2 linked regions of the Macaca fascicularis genome follow. The protein of the gene in region 1 interacts with the protein of each later gene in a biochemical or structural test. Links are inferred from orthologs where the notes say so. Each region holds a gene or a part of one and is shown in the gene's direction. Other genes may lie near its edges. The genes, in order: STAT1 and PRKCD.

Region 1 (10,487 bases):
ATGTACTCCTGACTAACATAGTGAAACCCCATTTCTACTAAAAATACAAAAAAAAAATTAGCTAGGCATGGTGGCAGGCACCTGTAGCCCCAGTTACTCAGGAGGCTGAGGCAGGAGAATGGTGTGAACCAGGGAGGCGGAGCTTGCAGTGATCACACCACTGAGCTCCACCCTGGGCAACAGAGTGAGACTCTGTCTAAAAAAAAAAATTTGCTTGGTTCCCTATGGCTAATGTTCAAACAAGAAGTCCTGTATGTTGAGTTTTTTTTTAATTTAAAAACATTACTAGTACTTTGAGTGCACATTTTATTCTTAATTCTGACATGTAAATGAACATAATTAAATATGGGTTTTTTATTTTTTTATTTTTATTTTTTGAGGCAGAGCCTCACTCTGTCATCCAGGCTGGAGTGCAGTGGTGTGATCATGGCTCACTTCAGCCTCCACCTCCTGGATTCAAGTGACCTTCCCACTTCAGCCCTCTAGTAGTTGGGGCTAATTAGCCATGCCTGGCTAATTAAAAAAAAAAAAATTCGTAAAGATAGGGTCTCACTATGTTGCCTAGGCTGGTCTTGAACTCCTGGGATCAAGCAATCCTACCGTCTCAGCCTCTTAAAGTGCTGGGATTACAGATATGAGCCACTGTGCCTAGCCTTCATTGTATAAGTTTGTTTCAATGTAATAGTTTCATAGATCATTACGATTATTCTGTTTCTGTTAAGTCCTTGTTAGGTTTTGGGATTTCTTTACTAATTAGAAAATATCAATTTGTTCATCCAACTTGTCAGAATCTTTCAAACTATTTTTTAGGTTGTACTCTCTAACCCCCTTTTTTCTTTTGGGAAAATCATTGTGACTGCCTCAACCTTAATGGAAATGCTAACTTATCTATCCTTTGCTGGGTATTTGCAGCTCGTTTGTGGTGGAAAGACAGCCCTGCATGCCAACGCACCCTCAGAGGCCGCTGGTCTTGAAGACAGGGGTCCAGTTCACTGTGAAGTTGAGGTAACAAGGGAAAGATGGCATCCCATACATCGCCTGTCATGTAGTTTGTACCCCTAGTTTCCTTTTATAAAAACTGTTATTGAGGGTACTTTTGAGGAAATAATTTTTCAGGGGGCATTTTAATATGAACGCTTACTGAGAATATCTGAGAGTCTTTTATTAATATACTCATAGTAGAATGTAACCAATATACATATATGTACACACTCCTGATTTTTTTCCAATCATAAATGTAATGCATGTTCACAGGAAAACAGAATTCCAAATTGCAGAAATGTGTGTAATAGAGAGTGAAAGTTCCCGGCTGCCTCACCCCTCTTGGGCATAGGCTTATAACCTGAGCCTTATGAACCCCAGAAACTGTATGAATGTGGATTTATAATATGTACATTTTTTCTGATGAATGGATTTATAGCTTTCATCAGATTCTCAAAGCAGTCCGTGATATAAATATCTGTGGACCACCACAGTAAATGACCTAGTGTCTGTCCTCCCAGGATTTTATCCTTGTCTACACAAGGACATATTTCATACAGAAACACACACGCACAAATATGACATAATGTTTCCTTTTTAAAAAATTAGGATTCCATGTCTACACAAATATTTCATATAGACACACACACACAAATATGACATATTTCTTTTTAAAAAAACTCAGGGTAGGCTATATACATTGTTTTGTACCCTTTCTCCTCAATAATAATTGTAGAAGTGTTTCCAGGAACATGTGGCCTTACTTTCTTCTGTTGAATGGCCGCATTGCTTTAAGCATTCTTCTTATGATGAAGAACTGGACTGACCTTCAGAGTTGGACCGGGTCCTTTTTCTGGGGTGTTACTGATTTAAGTCTGTGGTTAACCCTCCCTGGCTGGTAGTGTACAATGCCACACTCAAGCCCTCGTGGAATTCTAGAACTCGCAGCTGGAAGGGACAGTAGAAATCTGATCCCATCCACCTGCTCCACTGAACGGAGCAGGCAGAGCCCTGGGGTCTCCTTCCCAAGGTCTCCAGCTCAGTGGGGCACAGGCACACACCCTCACCTGCCCTCCATCTTTCCACACTACCCAGGGGTGACTATAGATGGGACATTATTTTTTCTGATTATGGGCAATGGTTTTTATTGTCTCCCAACAGGACAAAGATTAGATACAAGTTTCAGTAGAAAGTAACATTTGCTATTTTTCACCCATATAAATTGGCCAAAGGTCGACATTGTGATGAATCCCAATATTGGCAAGGTTATGGAGGGAAACAGCTACCCTCATTAACTTTTGGTGGGAATGTAAACTCAGGGCTGCATCCTGTCAGAATTAGTGTGACAATTTTTCCTAAGCAATTCCACGGCTAGGAATTTATTCTTACAAAAATTTAAGTAGATCTACAAAACTGTCAGTTTTCTTGTTGGTAATGCCCTAAAACGGGGGTGGGGAGTGGTTTATCTAAACGTTAATAGGGAATTGGCATAATAAATAAATTGTAACAGATAATTTTTTTTTTAGTAATGGCTTTTATTTTTCTTTCCAGACTGTTGGTGAAATTGCAAGAGCTGAATTATAATTTGAAAGTCAAAGTCTTATTTGATAAGTAAGATATCTTTAATATTATGTAACATACGTGTACTACTGAAATGTTGATTTTGTTACTCAAGCACAGACTCCTGCACTAGATAAGCAGATTCACTAGCTGTGGAAGGGTCTACACTGGGTGGAAGTTTGCCTCCCTAGGGCCCCAGGGCTGAACCCAGAGTCCTGCCAATGCTGCATATGAGCAGAGACTCCTAGTCCGATCCACCAGGGCCGTCACAAATGATCCCAGCAGATTTAAGTCAGCAGCTCCCTTGGTGGATGTTGGGAGCTTCCCCTGGAGCTGTTATCAACATTCCTGAGCCTTTTTAGACTATAACTGAACAAGAGAGTGAGTGTCTCTTTATGCATATCACATTGTAATCAGCAAGTTTCAAAGTGGCTGGACTTGGCATGCCACCCCTTCCTTCTAGCTCAGCCCCAGAGGAGAGGCCCCTGATCCAACCTGAGGCCGAATATCCAGGCTGCCGTGATTCTGTGGTCATTTGGAGGGTTTTTTTGGAGTGAGATCAGCAGCATCTTGGGGAGACTGTGTGGAGCCTGTGGGATTCACCCTTGTCTCTTCTGGGCAGTGGGAACCCAGGAATGGGCATCTCATGGGAGTCCAAGTGGAGCAGCCCCATTCTATTTTGCCCTGAGACTCTAGACCTGGGCTGGCACTGACTTGGGCACTCTCATTAAGGAACAAGATGGCTCCTCCCACCCCTCCCATATTTAATGTTTTTGTTAGCTTGTGTCACATACTGGTGTGGCAAGTTTCAAAAGTGATTTATGATCATTCAAATCATTTTCCTCTGGCTTTTTGCTTCTTCCCATTCCTATAAGAATATTCTTCCTTGTAGCATGGTCTGTGCCTTGTCTTCATGCCATCATCTTTGGTATATCAGTTAGCTTTTGCTCCCTAACAAACCACTCTTAAAACTTAGTGGCTAGGCCAGGCGCGGTGGCTCACACCTGTAATCCCAGCACTTTGGGAGGCTGAGGCGGGCAGATCACGTAAGCCAGAGTTTGAGACCAGCCTGACCAACATGGCGAAACCCCGTCTCTACAAAAAATACAAAAAATTAGCCAGGTGTGGTGGTGTGTACCTGTAATCCCTGCTACTTGGGAGGCTGAGGCACGAGAATCGCTTGAACCTGGGAGGCGGAGGTTGCAGTGAGCTGAGATCATGCCACTGCACTCCAGTCTGGGTGATGGAATGAGACTGTCAAAAAAAAAAAAAAAACGTAGTGGCTAAAACCTCAAAAACTCATTTCTCATATTCTGTGAGTTGTAGGTCGTCCTGGTCTGGGCTAGCGTGGTTGGAGCCAGGTGCTCTAGCAAGGCCTTATTACGTGACTGGGACTCAGCTGGGATAACCAGGTCCTTCTTCAAACATCTCAAAAAGGCTAGCCTGGGCTTTTCCCACGGTGACAGTGTTCCAAGTGAACAAGGCCTGTTAGTGCTAGCCTTGGAACGTGTATAGCATCACTCCTTTCCATCCAGTTGCTAAAAGCAAATCAAGGCCAGCTGAGATTCGGGGGACAGGGAAATACATCCTACTTCCTAAAGGGAAGAAGCACAAGGGTCGTGTGGCCATTGCAGTTTACCGTCCTCTGCGTCAGCTCAGCTCCTCTCAGCTGCTTCAGGCCCCTGTGTCTTTTCTGTCGGTTCCAGCTGACTGTCTTCTTAGCTTTGAAAAGTCAGCTTTTATCATACTATTCTTTTTATTTTAAATTCTTTTTTTTCCAAACAGGAAAATAGGTCCCTCCCATAGCTAATGGTGATTGTCATTCGCAAAAGCATTAAACTTCTGGTTGAGATTGGAAAGGAAGGGGAACTAATAGATCTGTGAGTGAGCCCATGATTTCTAGTCTACATCTAGGACACTCATGGATACATTATTTGGCCAGAACGTGACAAAGTAATCACTGGATATAAAAGTGCAAAGTCTTTCAAAATTTCAACCTCAGACTTTGAACTTAAACTTCCCACTTATCCCAGATAACTGACTCTTCTGGTACTTTCATGAGAGCATTAAAGATCATAGAGAATAAAAATGAGGATTAAATGGTCACATTGGCAGTCCTCTGAGCTTTGTGACAACTGGGCAGTGCTGTCTGCTGGATACCCAGTGCTTAGTGCAGGGCCTTGCACCAAGTAGCTGCCCAATGAACAATAACGATAGCTTACATTTATTGAGGGTGTACTGGTGCTGGTGCTTACATTTATTGAGGGTGTACTGGTGAGGAATTAACTAGTTTATTCCTCACAATGTCCCGTATGTTGGCACTGTTAGTATGTTGTGCAAATGAACAACGTGAGGCCCAGACCATTTATTTGCCCAAGGTCATTCAGTGATACTTGCCAGACCTAATATGGGTAGATTGAGGCAGGGAGTGAATGAAAGGCCGCAAACCCACAGGTGTAGATTTATTTTTTATTTATCATTCACTTAACACTCTTATGTTCTTATACTCTTATAATTTTGTTTAAGCTTATTTCAAATTTTAAATACACATATGTGATTATATATTTTTTTTTTTGCAGAGATGTGAATGAGAGAAATACAGTAAAAGGGTACGTGATGTACTTTATGCTACACTGTGCTATATTTTTATTTGTTTAATAGTTGGAAGACTTTTCAGCATTTCTTTCCCATATCGTATAGATTTAGGAAGTTCAACATTTTGGGCACGCACACAAAGGTGATGAACATGGAGGAGTCCACCAATGGCAGTCTGGCGGCTGAATTTCGGCACCTGGTAGGGACATGAGTTTCCTGTCTTTGTCTCTGGTTTCTTAGGACTTTTGACAACAGAGCGACCCTTTTTGGCACGTTGCCATATGGACGGCGCCCCCCTGCTGGGGTTTGCAGACTTTGTGGCTGGTGACTTCCTGTCACCAGCACTTGGGGCATTTTGATTTCTCCTCCTCATCCCATGACTGTTCACTCCATTTTCTGGGCTGTATCACTCACGGTAAAAACAATTTATAAGCCTGTGTATACGTAAATGATTTGCACTTGCTGCCTGCATGATCCCCACAGTCACTCACTGTAGACGCTTGCAGTTTTCTCAAAGGTTATGGCTCCCGTGTCCTGACTGTGATTTCCCCCACCCTCCAAGTGTGGTCCCGTACTCCAGGGTTCACTCCTCAGCCCCTGTGTTCCCCTTCCTGGCGGCCCTGCCCACAGCCCCTGCCTCCACGGCAGCCTGACTCTGCCACCTTGTCTCCAGGGCAGTAGAGCTCATTCCCCAGGCAGTAGAGACCCAGCGGGGTGCTCTCTGTGGGCTGTGCCATCTTTCCTCCTCTGTGAACACAGGGGCTGCCAATTGTTGTGAGGCTCTGTGGGTGCTGCGTCCAAAGCTCTCCCTGGGCTCAGAACCTGCAGGAGGTTAAAGGCATCCTTTTCCACTAGAGACCGCTTTGTGATCCAGCAAGCCTCCTAGCTAGGAAGCTCTACCTGACTTGGAAGCTTTAGCCCAACTCAGCTGCCTGAGGGTGTTCAGAGCCACCCTCAGGGCCCCAGCCTGCTCCCTTGGCAGCTCAGGGATTGATGTCCACTTGAGGGCATTTGGACCTGGAGTCACTGGGCCCAGCCTGGAGGACTCTGCTGAGGGAAAGGGGAGGGTGAAGCTGTCCCCTGAGCCTCGGGGCATGAAACAGCTAACGAAGGTGCACGGGGGAATCATTCAGGGGAAGTTTGAACACAGGAGAGGAGCCGGTGGCGATTCCAAGAGATCCCTCCAGACTGGTGTCTGCACCATCAGGCCTCTGGGGAAACGTGCTTCTGCTCATGGACCCAGAACGAGGGCCATTTTGTCCCATGTTCTGCATTCTAAAGATAGTGTCACGTCTGTCATTCTTTCTAGTCCTAACTTTGTTCTCATTTGTAAATGAAGATAGCAACTTTGACCATTACCATGGTGTTTAATAAGATGATTATTTGTTTTATAGCAATTGAAAGAACAGAAAAATGCTGGCACCAGAACGAATGAGGTGAGAGTCTCTTTATGTTGTGAATGGGCCCAAATCAGGCAGGTCTGTCTAGCAAGGGCAGGTCAGTTGGTGGCTGGGGACACCTCACAGAGGAGTTCAGACCCAGCAGGGAAGAGCAGCAAGTGAGCTGGGTACTTGGTATATCTGTGACAACAGTAAAAACACCACATTTGTACTTTACTATTGTCAAACGATTTTGCACACAAATTCATTGGACACTCAGTGGAGTAGCTATTGTGGGCTTTTGTATTCTTCGCATCTTACGGGTGAAGAAATTGAGTCACAGGAAGTTTGCAGGATTTAGCTAAGGGTGCACAGAGAGTTACTGTCAGAGTTGGAATGAGAGGCCACTTTGATGACTGCCTTGCTGTGTGCCAAGAGGGCTTTTTGGCCGTGGCATCCCCTACCAGAAGCATTGCCTTTGCATCAGTTTCCTTCCTACAACGTGATCCTTAAGAAGTTGGGTTTGTGATGCATTCAGAAATGAACTATGGACAAAGGATGAAATATCTGGAGTTGTTTTGGTTTAGAACACTTTCGTCCTTTATGCACACACAGCGTGCAGTCCTTCCACACCAGGACCAGTGGAGGTCACATGGAGCAGCGGGACACACACAGGCCCAGGCAGTGCAAAGATGCCTTCTAGCCCTGGTGTGCACCTGAACTGTTTTGACCTCCCTGCGTCTAGCAGTTGTACCTCTCTAGTTCTAAGTTGTGAGGTTCTCATGAGGTAATGTCTATGAAGGCACTTTGAAATCTATCCATTTCTACCAAAACCAAAGCACCTTGTGACCTACCAAGTTGATGTGAGTCAGCCTTTCTGGTAGGCAGTAGACAATCCCAAGTGTGCACTTACTCCCAGCCCTCTCACCTCCTCCCCACCCATCTGCATTGAGATGTGCAGCCACACTGGGCAGGCAGACAGAGCTGAGGGTTGAGAAGCCTTAGGTCACAAAGCCATTAGTTGCTCTTTCCCCATTGACATTTATTGCTCTGAATCTATAATCCTTGCCATAACTTCAGGCACTTATCTTTCAGAGCACACTGATACTCAGAATCATTAAATCTGGAAGGGATTCAATATTGAGTCTTTGGACTTGCTGCTGGTTGGGTCCAGGATCTCTGTGGCCTGTTGCAATGTTAATTGGGCTTTTGAAAGTTTCAGGATCTGTGAATAAGTGGTTATATTCTTTTCTTCTTTCCTTTTCTCTTCCAAGGGTCCTCTCATCGTTACTGAAGAGCTTCACTCCCTTAGTTTTGAAACCCAGTTGTGCCAGCCTGGTTTGGTAATTGACCTCGAGGTAAGACTTTTATTTTTATGGTCCTGAGGTGGAAAACTTCATTATTTTTACTTTTAATTGTTACGTGTATTTTTATTTCTCAGTTTTTGTTTTAGAGATATTTACCTAATTGTTTTAAAAATGATATTTTTCAGCTACTACTACCTTAACCTTAATTTATGGTCCAGAAAGCTAGAGAATTGAATTAACCTTCAAATTCTATAACTTAAATGTTCCAGTTGAGATAGCTGATGTTAATTTTTTTTACAGTAAGCATTAGGACTTATTTATTTTCCTCTGCCCTCCCTCCACATTTTGTGTTTTCATTGTGACAATTTTCATCTTCTCATATTGCATACCCCTTAATTAGTTATTGTAGCTATTATTATTTTTAGGGACTTATTTCTTAACTGAAAGATATATCAAAGACAAATTAAACTGGACAAAAGAACAGAACTTAACATTTCTCATTTTCAAGTATTAAATATGTACAAATTTACAAATAATCCCCTGCTTTTAGTTGAGGCTAAGCAGTTATCTGAAGGTGACATTTCTGTGATTCAGATGATTTCAAGGTCTTTGTCATCCTTTAGACGACCTCTCTGCCCGTTGTGGTGATCTCCAACGTCAGCCAGCTCCCGAGTGGTTGGGCCTCCATCCTTTGGTACAACATGCTGGTGGCGGAACCCAGGGTATGGAAAATACATTTGCTTTGGTCCCAGGGTTAAGCAGACCCCATGCTCTCGCTGCTGCATCTCTGAAATAGCCCCAATGGCCAGTTGTTGAGGGAGAAGTGACAAAGCTCCTGTGGTATTTCTAAGGCTTTTGAGTAAATCTGGGAATGTGAAGCATGGATATGTATTTGAAATGAGAATTATGATTTTTCTGCCATGTGAGTAAGCTAGGGCACTCAGTGATTCCATACCACTTCATCATTATTATTTTTAAAATGTGTACATCTACTAAACAAGCATGCTCCATTCTTAAGAGTGTGGATACTCACTGTTAATTAATTATAGTCATTATCATTATTCAAAGTAGTTATGTTTTTTGAAGTTACCAGGAACACTTAATTAGCAAATAATGAATTGTTGCTCCTAAGGGAACTACAAGGCTAGGTTCCTTCAAGCCTCTGGTCACAACATTTTTGTCACCCCATCAATGCATAACATTGTTTATGTGTGTTTCTGTTTAAAGACACCTTATCTAATATACTTGCTGAGGCATTAACATTACACCTATAGTCAGGATTACTGGGTAACTCACGCCTGAGTGAAGCTTGCCTCACACATGTATTTTCTCCATAAGGCACATCCCAGCATTCCCGTGCTTAGGAACAGTATACCACACTGTGGCGCTATGCTTGGGCACCATTTTAAACAGTGATCACCAACAGCAATCACAAAATGCAAAAACATGGCACTAAATAGGCTTCAAAAAGGACACGTTTTTCTTATGAGAGCTGAAACAGGAAGCGAGTGTCATTTTGTTTGGCTTCAGTTGGAAACATAAGTGTTAAAAGACTCAAATTCTTTGCTGCTGTGTGCATGGGTGTGTCTTCAGATGACCCCAAAGACGTCATGTGCTTAGATTTTGGAGTTACAAGTAAATTTTAGTGAGTAAACAAGTTCACAAATGTGCATCTGTAAATAGTGAAAATTGACTGTATTTCTCTTCCCCTACTGTGAAAGCACCTGTGTGTCACATAAACTAGAATTGAACTTTGGGATGGACATATGTTTTAGTGCCACACTTGTGACTGGTGTCTCTGTAGTAACCCTTCGATTTTGGGTGTTTTCTCTCTAGAATCTGTCCTTCTTCCTGAATCCACCATGTGCACGTTGGGCTCAGCTTTCAGAAGTGCTGAGTTGGCAGTTTTCCTCTGTCACCAAAAGAGGTCTCAATGTGGACCAGCTGAACATGTTGGGAGAGAAGCTTCTTGGTATATGCATATTAACTTGTTACGTTTATAAGAATTGAAATTCATAAAAATACCTCTCTAATTGCTCTTTTCCCCTCTGCTATTTTGTTAAAGGTAAAAAAGTATTAAAATCTGTTAGCTTTTCAAGCTATAGTTTATTATAGCTAAGTGAGAATCATATATCACCTTAGAAAGAAATATGGACCTGATAACATTTAAATGAATCCTTTCCTCATTGTCTCATATTAAGATTTCTGGGATGGATTCCCAAGGGAAAGTTTTATGAATTATGTAAAATATATTATTTGTGACTGAAATAAGTTCCTGGATGAGAAAGATGAAGGCCTATTAACCATTAACCTGGGGGAGAAGAAAGGAAGTCCCTGACATGATAAGAATAAAGTCCTGGGGCCTGCCCACTGCAGCATAAACCCAGGGCCCTTGACTCAGGTGGGCCCAGGTGGCAGGGGATGCCGTGCCCACAGGAGGATGCCTGTTTTGATCTGCAGTTTTGCCTGATTAGGCAGAGTCTAGACAGTGGTAGATATTTCCCTGTCAGTGGTTAATGTCAGTGCATTTATTAGTCCTTCATACTAAACAAATCAAAGATCCACTGGTCTCAAGGTCTAATCTTTCGGTGAGTGGGGCTATCTGAACTATTTCTTTAAAAATCCATGGACAACTTGTATCCAGATTTGCTTTCTGTAGAGGAGC
Region 2 (11,282 bases), on another chromosome or scaffold:
GGGAATGGCTCTTACTGATGACTATCGCAACACCAGTGCCCCTTCTCCCCACCTACACACACGTTTGGGGGCGGGGCAGAGGAGCCAGGAAAGGGGACTCAGGCTGGCAGGAGCTATGCCATTTTCAGTGCAGAGAAGGGACAGTCCAGGGTACACAACCCGGGAGAGCCACAGGAAAGCCCTGTGTTCTGCACTCCCAGGACGCACCTTCCCCTTGTCTACCCCCAAGTATGTCTCAGGTTTCACCCAAACACAAATGTGTTGAGGAAGGAACATGGAGGCAATTAGCCCAGCCTCACTAACTCTCTGCCTGGCAGGTAACACCAACATGGGATGAACTTGAACTCTTCCATCCCCTCAGCCTCAGGAGGTCGATCTTACCAAACTCCACTTCACAGATGAGGAAGCTGAGGCACATTTAAGCTGCAGTGCGGGGCACAGCCAGGATGTGAACCAGCCCCTGGCCTGGCACTTCCCTGCTATGCAGTACTACCCACAAGGCCACTGTCCCCTCAGCCTGTCCTTGCTTGTGTTTAACCTAGTGCCTGAGGCTGACACTCCTGTTGATGACAGTCTTGGTGGCCTGAGGCATGGGCATGTCCCAAGTGTCCTTCCTACTACACTGTCCCCAGTGGGCACCTCCCAGGCTCTTGCCCAGGTGCACTACCACTGTTGACTGTGTCTCCTGCTCCAGAAACACAAGCCCACTCTGTCTTGGCCAGGCCAGTGCTCTGGGTGTGATGGGGATTGCCGTGGCAACCAAAGCTTCAGGGACAAGGATGGTGACACAGAGAGACAGAAACAGAGAGAAGGTGCAAAAGGCAGAGAGGCCAGGACAAGGACCAACTCTTGGCAGGGATCAAGTGAGGGACCCCATTTGCCTTCAGCTGTGTGGGCCTCAGGGACAGAGGGAGGGCTTTTCCAGGTTGCTTGGCCGAGTCTTGGACTTCAGGAGTGGAGGAGTCTGGAGGCCTCCCAGGGTTCATGGCCTTTGGAGGAGGCAGAAGTGACAGGGGTCAAGCTGCTTCTCCTTTGGATAAATCCTCCAGGAGGTCCACAGAGGGAACAGCCCTGGGTGGATGCCGTGGGTGGGAGTCTGGAAGCTGCCTGGCGCCACCCCTAGCCCATCTCCTTGGCTGCAAACCTGGAGGAAGAGGAAAAGTACCACCTCTAGGCAGCTGCTATGAGTCTAGCCCTGCTCAGGGATTTACGTCCCATGTCATGAGAGGCCATTGAAGGCTCTTTCAAGGCTGACGGCCTATGACTTGGCACATGACCATGCCAGGTCACAGGCTGTAACCCTGGGCAATGTGTTTAGCCTGGCTGAGGCTCTGTATATATCATCTCATTTAACCCTTATCATCTCATTCAACCTCTGACATGAGTCTGTCATCAGCTCTCTTCATAGGTGAGAACTCCAAAGCTGGGAGAGGCACGGTCACCTACTCAGGGCCATACAGTTAGCATGTGACACAGCCAAGGTTTGCTCTCAGGCTTCAGCAGGCCCTTCTTGTTGATGCCAGGCAGATTATGGGGACACAGATACCAGCTCATCTGGACCCTGCCCTGGCCCACCAGTGTGGCACCCAGAAGCAGCTCCAAGATGCAGGTTGGTTCTAGTCAAGCGTGGCCTGGACTCTCTGGACCTCATGCAAACCTGTTCTCCCTGGGGCCCTTGGACCTAAGGCCTGGAGGGAAGCCCACCTTCATCCCTTCTCTGCCCTTGCCACAGCATAGCCAGCACAGCCTTAGCCCCTCTGCCCCCCTCTGAGTACATCACACTTCCCCTTTCTCCAGAGGAGAGAGATTGGCTGAAGCCAGTGTGTGCTTGCAGCCCCTGAGCTCACAAGTCTGCATATCCTGAGGATCAGGAAAGTGCTTCCTGTTGTCTAATGTAAATCTTGTTCCTGTAACACCAGAATATGTCAAAGCAGTGATTCTCAACAAGGGGTAATTTTGCCCTGCAGCGGACATTTGGCAATGTTTGGAGACATTTTTGTCTGTCACAAGTTAAAGCAGGGAGGTACTACTGGCATCCAGTAGGCAGAGGCCAGGAATGCTGCTAAACATCCTTACAGTGCACAGGGCAGCCCCCACAGCAAAGAATCATCTGTCCCAAAGGTCAGTGGTGTTGGAATTGAGATCCCTGATGTAAACTATGGGCTTTGGAGGCAGAGAGACCTCAGTCTGAATCCACCTCTGCCACTGACTAGCTGTGTACTCTGGGGCAAGTCGCTTCTCCTTTCCCTGAGCCTGTTTGCTCATCACCAAAACTGGCACTAACAGTAGCCCTCACCTCTTAACTGTTCCGACTGCACACATCCAGCACCCAGCACACAGCCTGGTGCTGGGTAGCCCCTATCAGCGATAGCCATGATTATTCATTTCCTTCTTCCAAGGTGAACCACAGGGAGTGGGAACAAAGGTCTGGTGCCTGGACCTGGAGGCCACAAAGGTCTGGTGGCTGGACCTGGAGCTCCACAAGGGTCAGTCCTCCCTCTGGCTGCAGTCCCTGGCACAGGGTGGGCCTATTGTTTATGTTGAGGGAGAGGCTGGGTTGGCTTACTGTGAACCTGAAGGAGGAGCCAGAAGGAAACCTGATCCCAAGTGGGCAAAGGTCACCTGAGGCTCACCTTGTGCACCCTTTCCTCCAGTCCAACCCCAGGGAAGCCATGGGGCATGATGGGTGGGGTGGGATGGTATCAGGACACAGAACATGCTAATGAATATGGTCCTTCGCTCAGGGAAGTGCTGTGCATTACAACTGGGCATCAGGCAGGAGGGGCATTTGAATGGACACAACCAGGGCAGGTAGAGGTTTGGGGGTGGGGTGGGAAATGGCATTCAGGCCCAGAGAACAGCATGCTCAAGGCCTGGGTGTGAAGAGAAAAATGTCTTTCCCAAAGGATAGTCCTGGAACCCACCTGGTCTGACCTTTTCTCCCCATCCATCTTCCCCAATCTCAACCCAGGTGGCTGACAACATGGCAGCCCTTCTGTCCCCCATCCAGCCTCTCCTCTGCCCTGCAGTCCCTCTGCCCCATCTATCCCGCAGGAGCCCTCTAGAGCCTGTCGTCCTGACTGATTGTAACAGCTTTCACCACCTTCTCATTGCTCCGTAAGAAGACCAAAGTCCAATAACCTGTCTCTGTCACAAGCCCCTTTCTCAGCTCAGGCCACCTCTGGGATTGTCCCCCACTTCCATCCCTTGTGTTTAGACTTTCCCTATCCCTTCTAGGTGGTTCCCCAGGACCTGGAACCCTCTTTTTTGTCTCCTGGGAAGTGACATTTCTTTGGATCAGTATAAGAATAATGTCTTGGCTTTCTGAGCTCTGGGGACAGGGGAATGGACACCCTAGAACCCCAACTGGTCCCTAGACTTTGAGCCTAGGGGACACTCGATGAATAGATGGATGAGTGTATGAATGAATGAATGAATGAGTTATGGCTGACAACCAAGTTCCACGTCTGGAAAGGAGGCTCAGGCGCCTGCCAGGAGCAATAGAGAGGTCTCGAAGATGGGGGCAGGAGAGCAGAAGACTGCCAATCGGGGTAGGGGCAACTGCCAGTCGGGGTAGGGGCAGGTCCCAGAACCGCCTGAGGAGCAGTGCAGCGGCCGACCAGCGAGAACCTCCGGCCCTGGAGTGTAACCAGCTCAGTCTTTGGGGCAGAGCCGGGACAGCGGGCTTGGCGGCGGGCACCGAGCCCGGCCGCGTCCGAGTTCCAGCCAACAGGAAGAGCAGGAGTGGGGCCAAGGGAGGCGGGCCAGCTGGCTAGTGGGGAGTCCCGGGCGTGGGTGTGGGGAGCGGGGGAACCCCCGCCGGCGCCTCCCAGGCCCCAGCGGGCGGGGGGCGCCTCCTTATCGGGCCTCAGCGGCCTCCTCTGTAAAATGGGCCCCTTCTGAGGGCTGGCTGCGCGTAATGGCGGGAGGATGCGAAGCGGGCCACAGAGGGCAGAGGGGCCGGGAGACTCAGTGTCCCGCGCAGAAAGAGGCAGAGGGACACAGTCCCCGGTTGCAGCTGGTGGGGCGGGGCCTGGAGGGGCGGGGCCTGGAGGGGGCGGGGCCGGCGGCACCTGGGTGAGGTCGCGCCGCCCCGCCCCCTCGCACTTCCGTGTGCCGCGGCGCCGGAGCCCGAGGCTGCTGCAGCCCAGATCCCCCGAGCGACCCCCGGCGCCCGCCCGCCGTGCCGAGGCCCGGGCCACACCTCACTGGCCGCTGGACTCGTCCCAGTCAGCGCCGCGCCGACCGCCGTCCGCGCGCGCCAAGGAGCCGCCCGCCCGCCACCGCCGCCGCGACCCTTGGCGCCTGCCCCTGCGCCGGGAGGTGAGTTAGGGCCGGGACCCGGCGCGGGATCGGGGCTACCCCGAGGGCGCGACGCCCTTTCTTCCCCTCCCCGGCCCGGTTCCCGTTTCCGAAACTGAGAAACTGAGCCGCGGTCAGCGAAAGTCCCTCCGCGCCGAGACATGCCGGTGACTCCGTCCCCCCGTCCGTCTGTCTGTCCGTCCCTCCGCCAGATAGTGGGGGCTGAGGTCTTTCTGTCCGCCCGCCCGTGTGTCTCCCGCTCCTCCGAGAGGCCCGTCCGTCCTTCCCGACTGTCTCCTGGGCCCTGTGACCGTCCGTCTGTCGCCACCCACTCTGTGTTCTCCCCCTGCGCGCCTCTCCGAGACCCGATCCGTCTGTCCCTCGCCCTCCGCGTGCTCCATCGCCCCACCCCCACCCTTACCCCCGCCGGCCGCCCCCTCGATCCCGTTCTCCCGGAGCCGCGCCCCCGGCCCACGCTTGCCGCCCCCTGCCGGTCCAGCCGCCTATCCGCTCTACCGCGGAGCCCAGGCCAGGCCGCCCGCCGGGCCTCGCCTCCCGCCCCTGGGTCCCTGGAGGCCCGACTCGCGCGGCGCCTCCTCCTCGCTGTCTCTTCTTTCGGTCTCAAGAGTCTTTCTCGGTCCCTTCATCCGTCTCTGGGCTGGGCGTGGCTCCAGTCTCCACCATCCCCCTTACTGCCCCACCCCTCCGCCCCTCTGAGACCCCTTCCCAGGGTGGCCCCTGCCCGGTGTGGTCTGCACCCGCCCCCAACCCAGATGCCACTCGCGTTGTGGGGGCTCTGCCAGGTGAGGGGAGGGAGGGGGAAGTCCTCCTGGCTGGTGGTGGAGAGGCAGAAGGAGAGCACCATCGGAACTGCTCCCACTTCCCCAATTCCCTCACTCTTGGGGCACAGGAGAGCCCCACTGAGCCCCCACTTAAACCTGGTCAGAAGGATTTGCTGTGAGTGTGTGGGGGGGTCCCCTTCTCTGATGCCTACCCTGTATGCATGGACGCTATCTCCTTGTGCTAAGTCACTGGTATCTGGGTGTGTGGGTTGTCTGTGTCAGCTTCTGTGCTGTCACTGTGGGACTTGCCTGTGCATGTGTGTCCTTTTTCGCATGTGTGGCTTGCTTGTGTGTATGTGTGTATGTCTGTTTGTGTCCTGAGGCTCTGTGTGTGTCTTTTGCAACTGTGTGTACCATTCTTGGTGTTTTTGTTGTCACCAGACTTGTGTGTGTGTGTGTGTCCTTGTCTGCCAGTGTGTGTGTCCCTGTGTGTCTGGAGATTTCAGTGTTGCATACTGGGTATATCATGGTGACCAACTGCCCACAAGTACCTTAGATCTGTTAATTGTGGAAGCCCCTGGTGTTGGGTGCCTGCCCACCAGGCTCATGTGTGAGTGTATCTGTATGAGTGTGTGTATGTGCGTGTACTCATGTGTGGCTCTCCCTCTGCCACTGAGCTTCTGTGACCAGGCTCACCTGGTCACTAAGGGAGGGGACTGATCCCTGGGGTTTCCTCGTTCCTACTGTGGAGTGAGCTGGGGCGCGGTGGGCAGGCCAACAGAGGGAGGCTGTATGGCGCATGTGTGATGTGTGCAGTTGTGTGTGTGTGTGAGACAGAGAGGTGTGGAGGTGTCTGGGCAGCTGTACCTGGCTGAGGGGTGGTGTGAGGACTATGGGATGGGACGGTACTGGGGTAAGCCTGGCAGTGTGTGGTCATGGTAGGAGTGTGTGACTGGTGGGACACAGTCTATGCTTGGGGAGTGACTGTGATTGTGGGGAACGGAGAGTGCCTGGGCGTGGGTGTTAGCGGCAGGAGGGGGTGTGACAAGGTGTGTGGTGACAGTGCTGGGAGGGAAGGTGAGAGCCCAGTATGGGTGTGTGAGTGTGTGGGAGACCATGAGGATGTGGGTGTGCACATGGAGAGGGCTAGAGGGCAAGTCTTGGGGTTAGCAGTGTTGTGACCAAGACCTCGGGCTCTGGATCCAAGAATGATTTGGGCTCCAATACTTGCTTGTGCCTGTTAAGAGCAAGAGACCCAAGCTAGGCCTCTCAAGGCTGAGTGTCTTTATCTGCAGAATGGAGAAAGTTGTGTGGACAAAAGGTCCTGAAGTCTTATGTTGTCACCACCCCCGGCTATATGGTTCCCATTCTCCTGGGAGCTGGGGTTAAAGAAAGCCCAGACAGTATCCAACCCAATTTCCTGCCTGTCTGTTGCCCCTTCCCATCTCCTTGACCAAGCAGCTTGAGGGAGGGAGGATGCCCAGACAAAGCCCCTAGTACCCAGCCCTGTTCAGCCTGCATGACAGCCCCTCCCTCACCAGCCGTTAGTGTCAGTAGCAGCAATGGGGGAGAGAGGGGTGGGGAGTGATTCAGAGCTGTGACTGCAGGGCGCTGACACCATTTAGCTGGCACAGTTTAGATTAAAATTAGAAATAATTTAAAGTACAGACGAAAAGATAAAGCCAAGGATGCCTCTATCCCCAGGGAATGGTGATGAGGGTCTCCAGCTGGGGGAGGGGCTCACATCTGGGGAGCAGAATCTTTCTTAGAGGCTTGAGCTGGCTGTCAGAAAAAATGCTTAGGCCTTTCAGCCAGGAGACACAGAGTTCCTTGCTACCTTTGCCATTTCTTCCTTCCAGGATATCTCCAGGCCTCAGTTTTTTCAGCTGTGTAATGGGCACAATAGTAACGTGAGAATCACCTGAACTATAATGCACAAAACAAGAGATTAAAAAATGTCACTCTTCAGGCTGGGCACAGTGGCTCACACCTGTAATTCCAGCATTTTGGGAAGCCGAGGCGGTAGATTACTTGGTCAGGAGTTTGAGACCAGCCTGGACAACATTTTGTCTCTACTGAAAATACAAAAATTATCTGGGCGCGGTGGTGCGCGCCTGTAATCTCAGCTGCTCAGGAGACTGAGGCACAAGAATCACTTGAGACCAGGAGGTGGAGGTTGCAGTGAGCCAAGATTGTGCCACTGCACTCCAGCCTGGGCGATAGAGCGAGACCCTGCCACATTAAAAAAAAAAAAAAAAAATCAGTCATTTGGCATTCTCAACGTGAGTCCAGCACAGGAGCTTGCACGCCACATCATTGGAACCTCAGAACCACCTGGGGAGAGGGGGCTAGCAGTTTCTCCATTAAAAAAACTGAGGCTCAGAGGAATTGCCCCAGGCCATAAAGTGGTGTGGTACTTCATTGCACCCTAGGACTCCTAAGCCTGCAGGGCAACCTCCCGCAGACAGGAGAGTCGGGAACAGGTTTTTGCTGTGTTATTGGCTTCCTCACCAGGCTGGAAATGTGCTGAGGGCAGGGACACAGTGTTCCAGCCCCTAACATGGAATGGACACATAGTGGTGTCCAGGAAAAGTTGGACCCAACACTACATTTCAAGGAAGGGAAAGCCACATCCAGAGAGACCCAAGGTTTTAGGGCCAGGAGAGACTGAACTGGGCCTGTCAGCCATGCCGGGACTGGCAGATGGGGAGAGCCTGTTTGGCGGTGCCTCCCGGTTCAGCTGTTTCCTCCTGTTCCTGCAGGTCTGCAGGGAACTGGCCAGGCAAGGGTGCAGGCCGGTTTCTCCTGGTGGTTGGTGCGTTGCAGCAGCAGCAGGAGCCAGGACTAAGGACAAGCGGGAGCTGGGAGCCCCAGGTAGGACTGAGTTCTCTTAGGCAGATGGACGGTGCTCAGGCGTGGCCTTCCTCTCTGTCCTCCCTGTCCTTTGCTGTGGGACTGGATGGGGTTGGGCATGCATGCAGAGTCCTTGATCTGGTTGTGGGCCCTATGTGCCCAGGGGCCGCAGCTGTTTGCCCTGTCTATGGAGGGGCTCTCTGCTCATGAGGAACTTCCCGCCTGGAACCTGGCTCTGGCCCCGAATGCTCTCGCCTTGGAGCTCAGAGGCCTGGGGCCTACCATGAGTTTGGGGCAAGAAGTAGTAACACTTTTTTGGTCAGTTAGAGAGAGGGTGGCTCGTGGGCCAAGGATTGAGGGTGGATGTATCAGCTTTTCCTTGGCCCTGTATCTGCCTCCAACTGTCCTCATCGTCACACAAGGACACTGAAATTCCCCGTGGGCCCCACAGTGAGTTGGACGCTGCGGGGGGATGGAATGGGGTCTCCAGGTACAGCTGAGCTGTCTTCCACACCCCAGGCCCCTCCATTTTCCCCACTTCTCTAGAGCCCGAGCAGGGCTCAGTCCCTCTCGTCAGCTTCCAAATTCAAGGGGAGTTAGGCAGAGTCTGGAACAATGCTGGGAAGGCTGCAGTCTCTCTGAAGAGCCTCAGAAAGCTGGAAATTCCTCGTTTTGGGGCAAGCCTTGCCTCCTTCAGCCCCATTACCATGAAAACACTGCTGTGGGTGACTCCATACTCACTCCAGGCTGGTGACTGGGTGACTGGGCCCCAGTGAGCAGGGTTCTGGTGGTGGGTATGGGTGCTAATGAAGCTTGAGCCTGGGAGTGACAGTGGGGGGATAGCAAAGACCGTCTTTCCTCCAGGAGCGCTCCCTGAGCAGACCACCGCAGCCAACCCCACTGGCTGTTACACACTTATAGGTCTGTGAGTAGAGCCATAAGGGCTGGGCTTCCTGGGCCTGACTCTGGGTTAGGGGGCAGAAAGGAGGTCAGGGCCCTCACTCCTGGGGTAGGAGTTGGGGCAGAACAGGAGTCGTCTTCACTGGGCCTTCTGTGTATTGGACCTATCCCTAAACCTGGTGTGGAGGAAGTGAAGTGCCTTTGGCTGTGTAGGGGCCTCTGCCACCGGAGTTCTGAAGAGCCAGCCCTTTCTGTCACTCAGCCTTGTTTTCTAAGGAGTTTGATTAGTCTTGGAGACAGCCCACGGTAAATCCTCAGACATCACCCGCCTGCTGCACAGACATATGCGTGCTCACACAGGGATATGGCAAGCCAGGCTGCAGTGGCCATGCACACCCACAGACTCATGAGTGCGTGCACCACCCATGTGGGCGTGCAGGTACACAGGTGCTCACATGCAGCCACCCATGGCACACTCACGCACACACAGATGATCTCCCAGTTACCATTGGCATCCATGCACTCAAATGCCTTCCCACACATACCACACTGTGCCCATTCTGGGGTCAGGAAGGGGGGCCCTGGTCAGAGTCACAGCCCAGCAAGGTCGCCTGCATCTGGCACCTGAGGGGGAAGTTCCAGGTGTGGCTGTGATCTCAGGGGGTTAAGGGGGGCTGGGCCACCCTGGTAGGTGGGCTCTGCCCATGCATTCAGCAGCCACCCTCCCACCTGGCCCCAGGCTCCAGGCCGACCAGGGCTTGGCATGGGAGATGGGAGATGGGAGATACGAGTGCAGGGGAGATGCGTGTCAGCTGTGCCAGCACCGTGTGCCTAGTGCCACGGCAGAGGAAGTAGGCTTTCTGGCCATGAGGCCAGTGTGCCCACAGTGGGTGGGGGTCCTATCACAACGCCTGTGTCCCCCACAGCATCCATGGCTAGAGGGAGTGGAGTTGCTGGGCTCTAGGGACTAAGAGGTTGGCAGGGGCGGTCTGTTCACTTCCCAAAGGCTGGGCCTGTCTGTCCGAGGCGTTTCCGGAGGCTCACTTCCTCTGGGCTGCCCAGGAAGTGGTTTTGGAGTGGGACTGACCAGCCCTCCGTCCGCAGCTCTACGCCTTGCTCCACCCCTGCCTTGCCTGCCCAGGGGAGCAGCATCTGGCCACCGGGTTAGGCTGACTGACCAGGCTTTTCACTGCCAGGGCTGCCCAGGCTTTTTTCGGGGGCTCTAGGAGAAGGGCAGGGGCCAGGTCATGAAGTCCCCTGCAGTCTCCACAACTTTCTCGTCCCCGCACCTTTCTTGCTCTGACCCTGTAAGCCGAGGCTCAAGAGCATCAGCTCTGGTAGTCATGGCCCCCTTGAGAGTGGTGATGGCTGGGCTGCATCTCAGTGACTAGGCAGCTCCCAGCAGCTCTATGAATGAGCCTGGGCAAGTGGCTTTGCCTCTTAGTGCCTCAGTTTCCCCCGACAGATGAGATGATAGCATCCATCTTGATGAGGTTGAGCAGAAATGACAGATAACATATGCAAAGTAGCTAGCATCGTGCTTAGCACATTGTCAGAGTTGAATGAGTAGAAACTGTAGTTATGTAAAGCATTTAGTGCCCAGTTCATGGGAACTATTCAAAAAATAGCAAGTGGGACTGATGAGGGGGTACTATGATCTGAGGGGCTGGGCACTGGCCCAGTGTTACATGGCCAGGTGCTATGGAGCCTGGCCGAGGAGCCAGGTCTCTGACTCCCTCATCCCCCTCAATTCTGCCTCCAGTGGCAGCACCCTACTGGTTCAATAGGTTCCATGTCTTCTGAGGAGAGGAGCTCCCGGTGGAGCAGCTCCACCCACTCAGCAGCCCAGCCCTTGCCTGCTCTTCTCCCCCTCACTCCCTTTCAAAGGGAGAAAATAGATCTCATGACAAATGGATGCAGGGAGGGGAAAGGCAGTCTGCAGCTGCCTGCTGCCCCCTCAGGGCTCCCCTTGGCGCTCTCCAGCTCTGGCCTTCTGCAGGACATTAGGCTGGGAGAATTGGCTGGGAATGAGGGGGTGGACGTAAGCCCTCCTGCCAGCCTGCTTACCCTTCAGACCCCTGGAGTCAGCCTTTGGGCTGGGGCAGGGAGTGGGCATCTGGTTATGATGGAGGCTAGAAGAGTAGGGGGAGCTAGAAAACCCCCTATATACACAGCAGCTGGGGGCAGGGCCCAGCCTGTCCCAGGGACACGAAGAAGGTCAGCACAGTCAGGGTTGGGCTGAGCATTGGCCTTCACTGTGTGGGACCCAGAGGCTAGGGGTGAGAAATGTTGAGGAGTGGTAAGGACAGTAATGCAAGCATCAGGAGCCTGAGGGCTGGAGAGCGAAAGATGAATGGGCCTGGGCGAGGAGTGTGGGTGAGGGTATCCTGAAGGCTTAGGAGCAGGACTTATGCAGGCATCAGACAGACCCTGATTGAATCCTTG

The links.
Region 2: of the proteins of STAT1 (region 1) and PRKCD, one has a biochemical effect on the other in vitro, tested with the Homo sapiens proteins (2 studies listed by BioGRID). The link is inferred for Macaca fascicularis from reciprocal best matches to the Homo sapiens genes STAT1 and PRKCD.

What each region holds. Positions count from the first base shown.
Region 1 is NC_088386.1:86,678,075-86,688,561, reverse strand, and holds part of STAT1 (signal transducer and activator of transcription 1-alpha/beta), read left to right. Parts: intron 1-912; coding exon 913-1,005; intron 1,006-2,532; coding exon 2,533-2,592; intron 2,593-5,120; coding exon 5,121-5,150; intron 5,151-5,241; coding exon 5,242-5,335; intron 5,336-6,530; coding exon 6,531-6,572; intron 6,573-7,789; coding exon 7,790-7,873; intron 7,874-8,445; coding exon 8,446-8,544; intron 8,545-9,658; coding exon 9,659-9,794; intron 9,795-10,487. UniProt on the Homo sapiens protein: Signal transducer and transcription activator that mediates cellular responses to interferons (IFNs), cytokine KITLG/SCF and other cytokines and other growth factors.
Region 2 is NC_088376.1:116,294,070-116,305,351, forward strand, and holds the start of PRKCD (protein kinase C delta type), read left to right. Parts: upstream 1-4,103; 5' UTR 4,104-4,323; intron 4,324-5,133; exon of another isoform or gene 5,134-5,259; intron 5,260-7,846; exon of another isoform or gene 7,847-7,958; intron 7,959-11,282.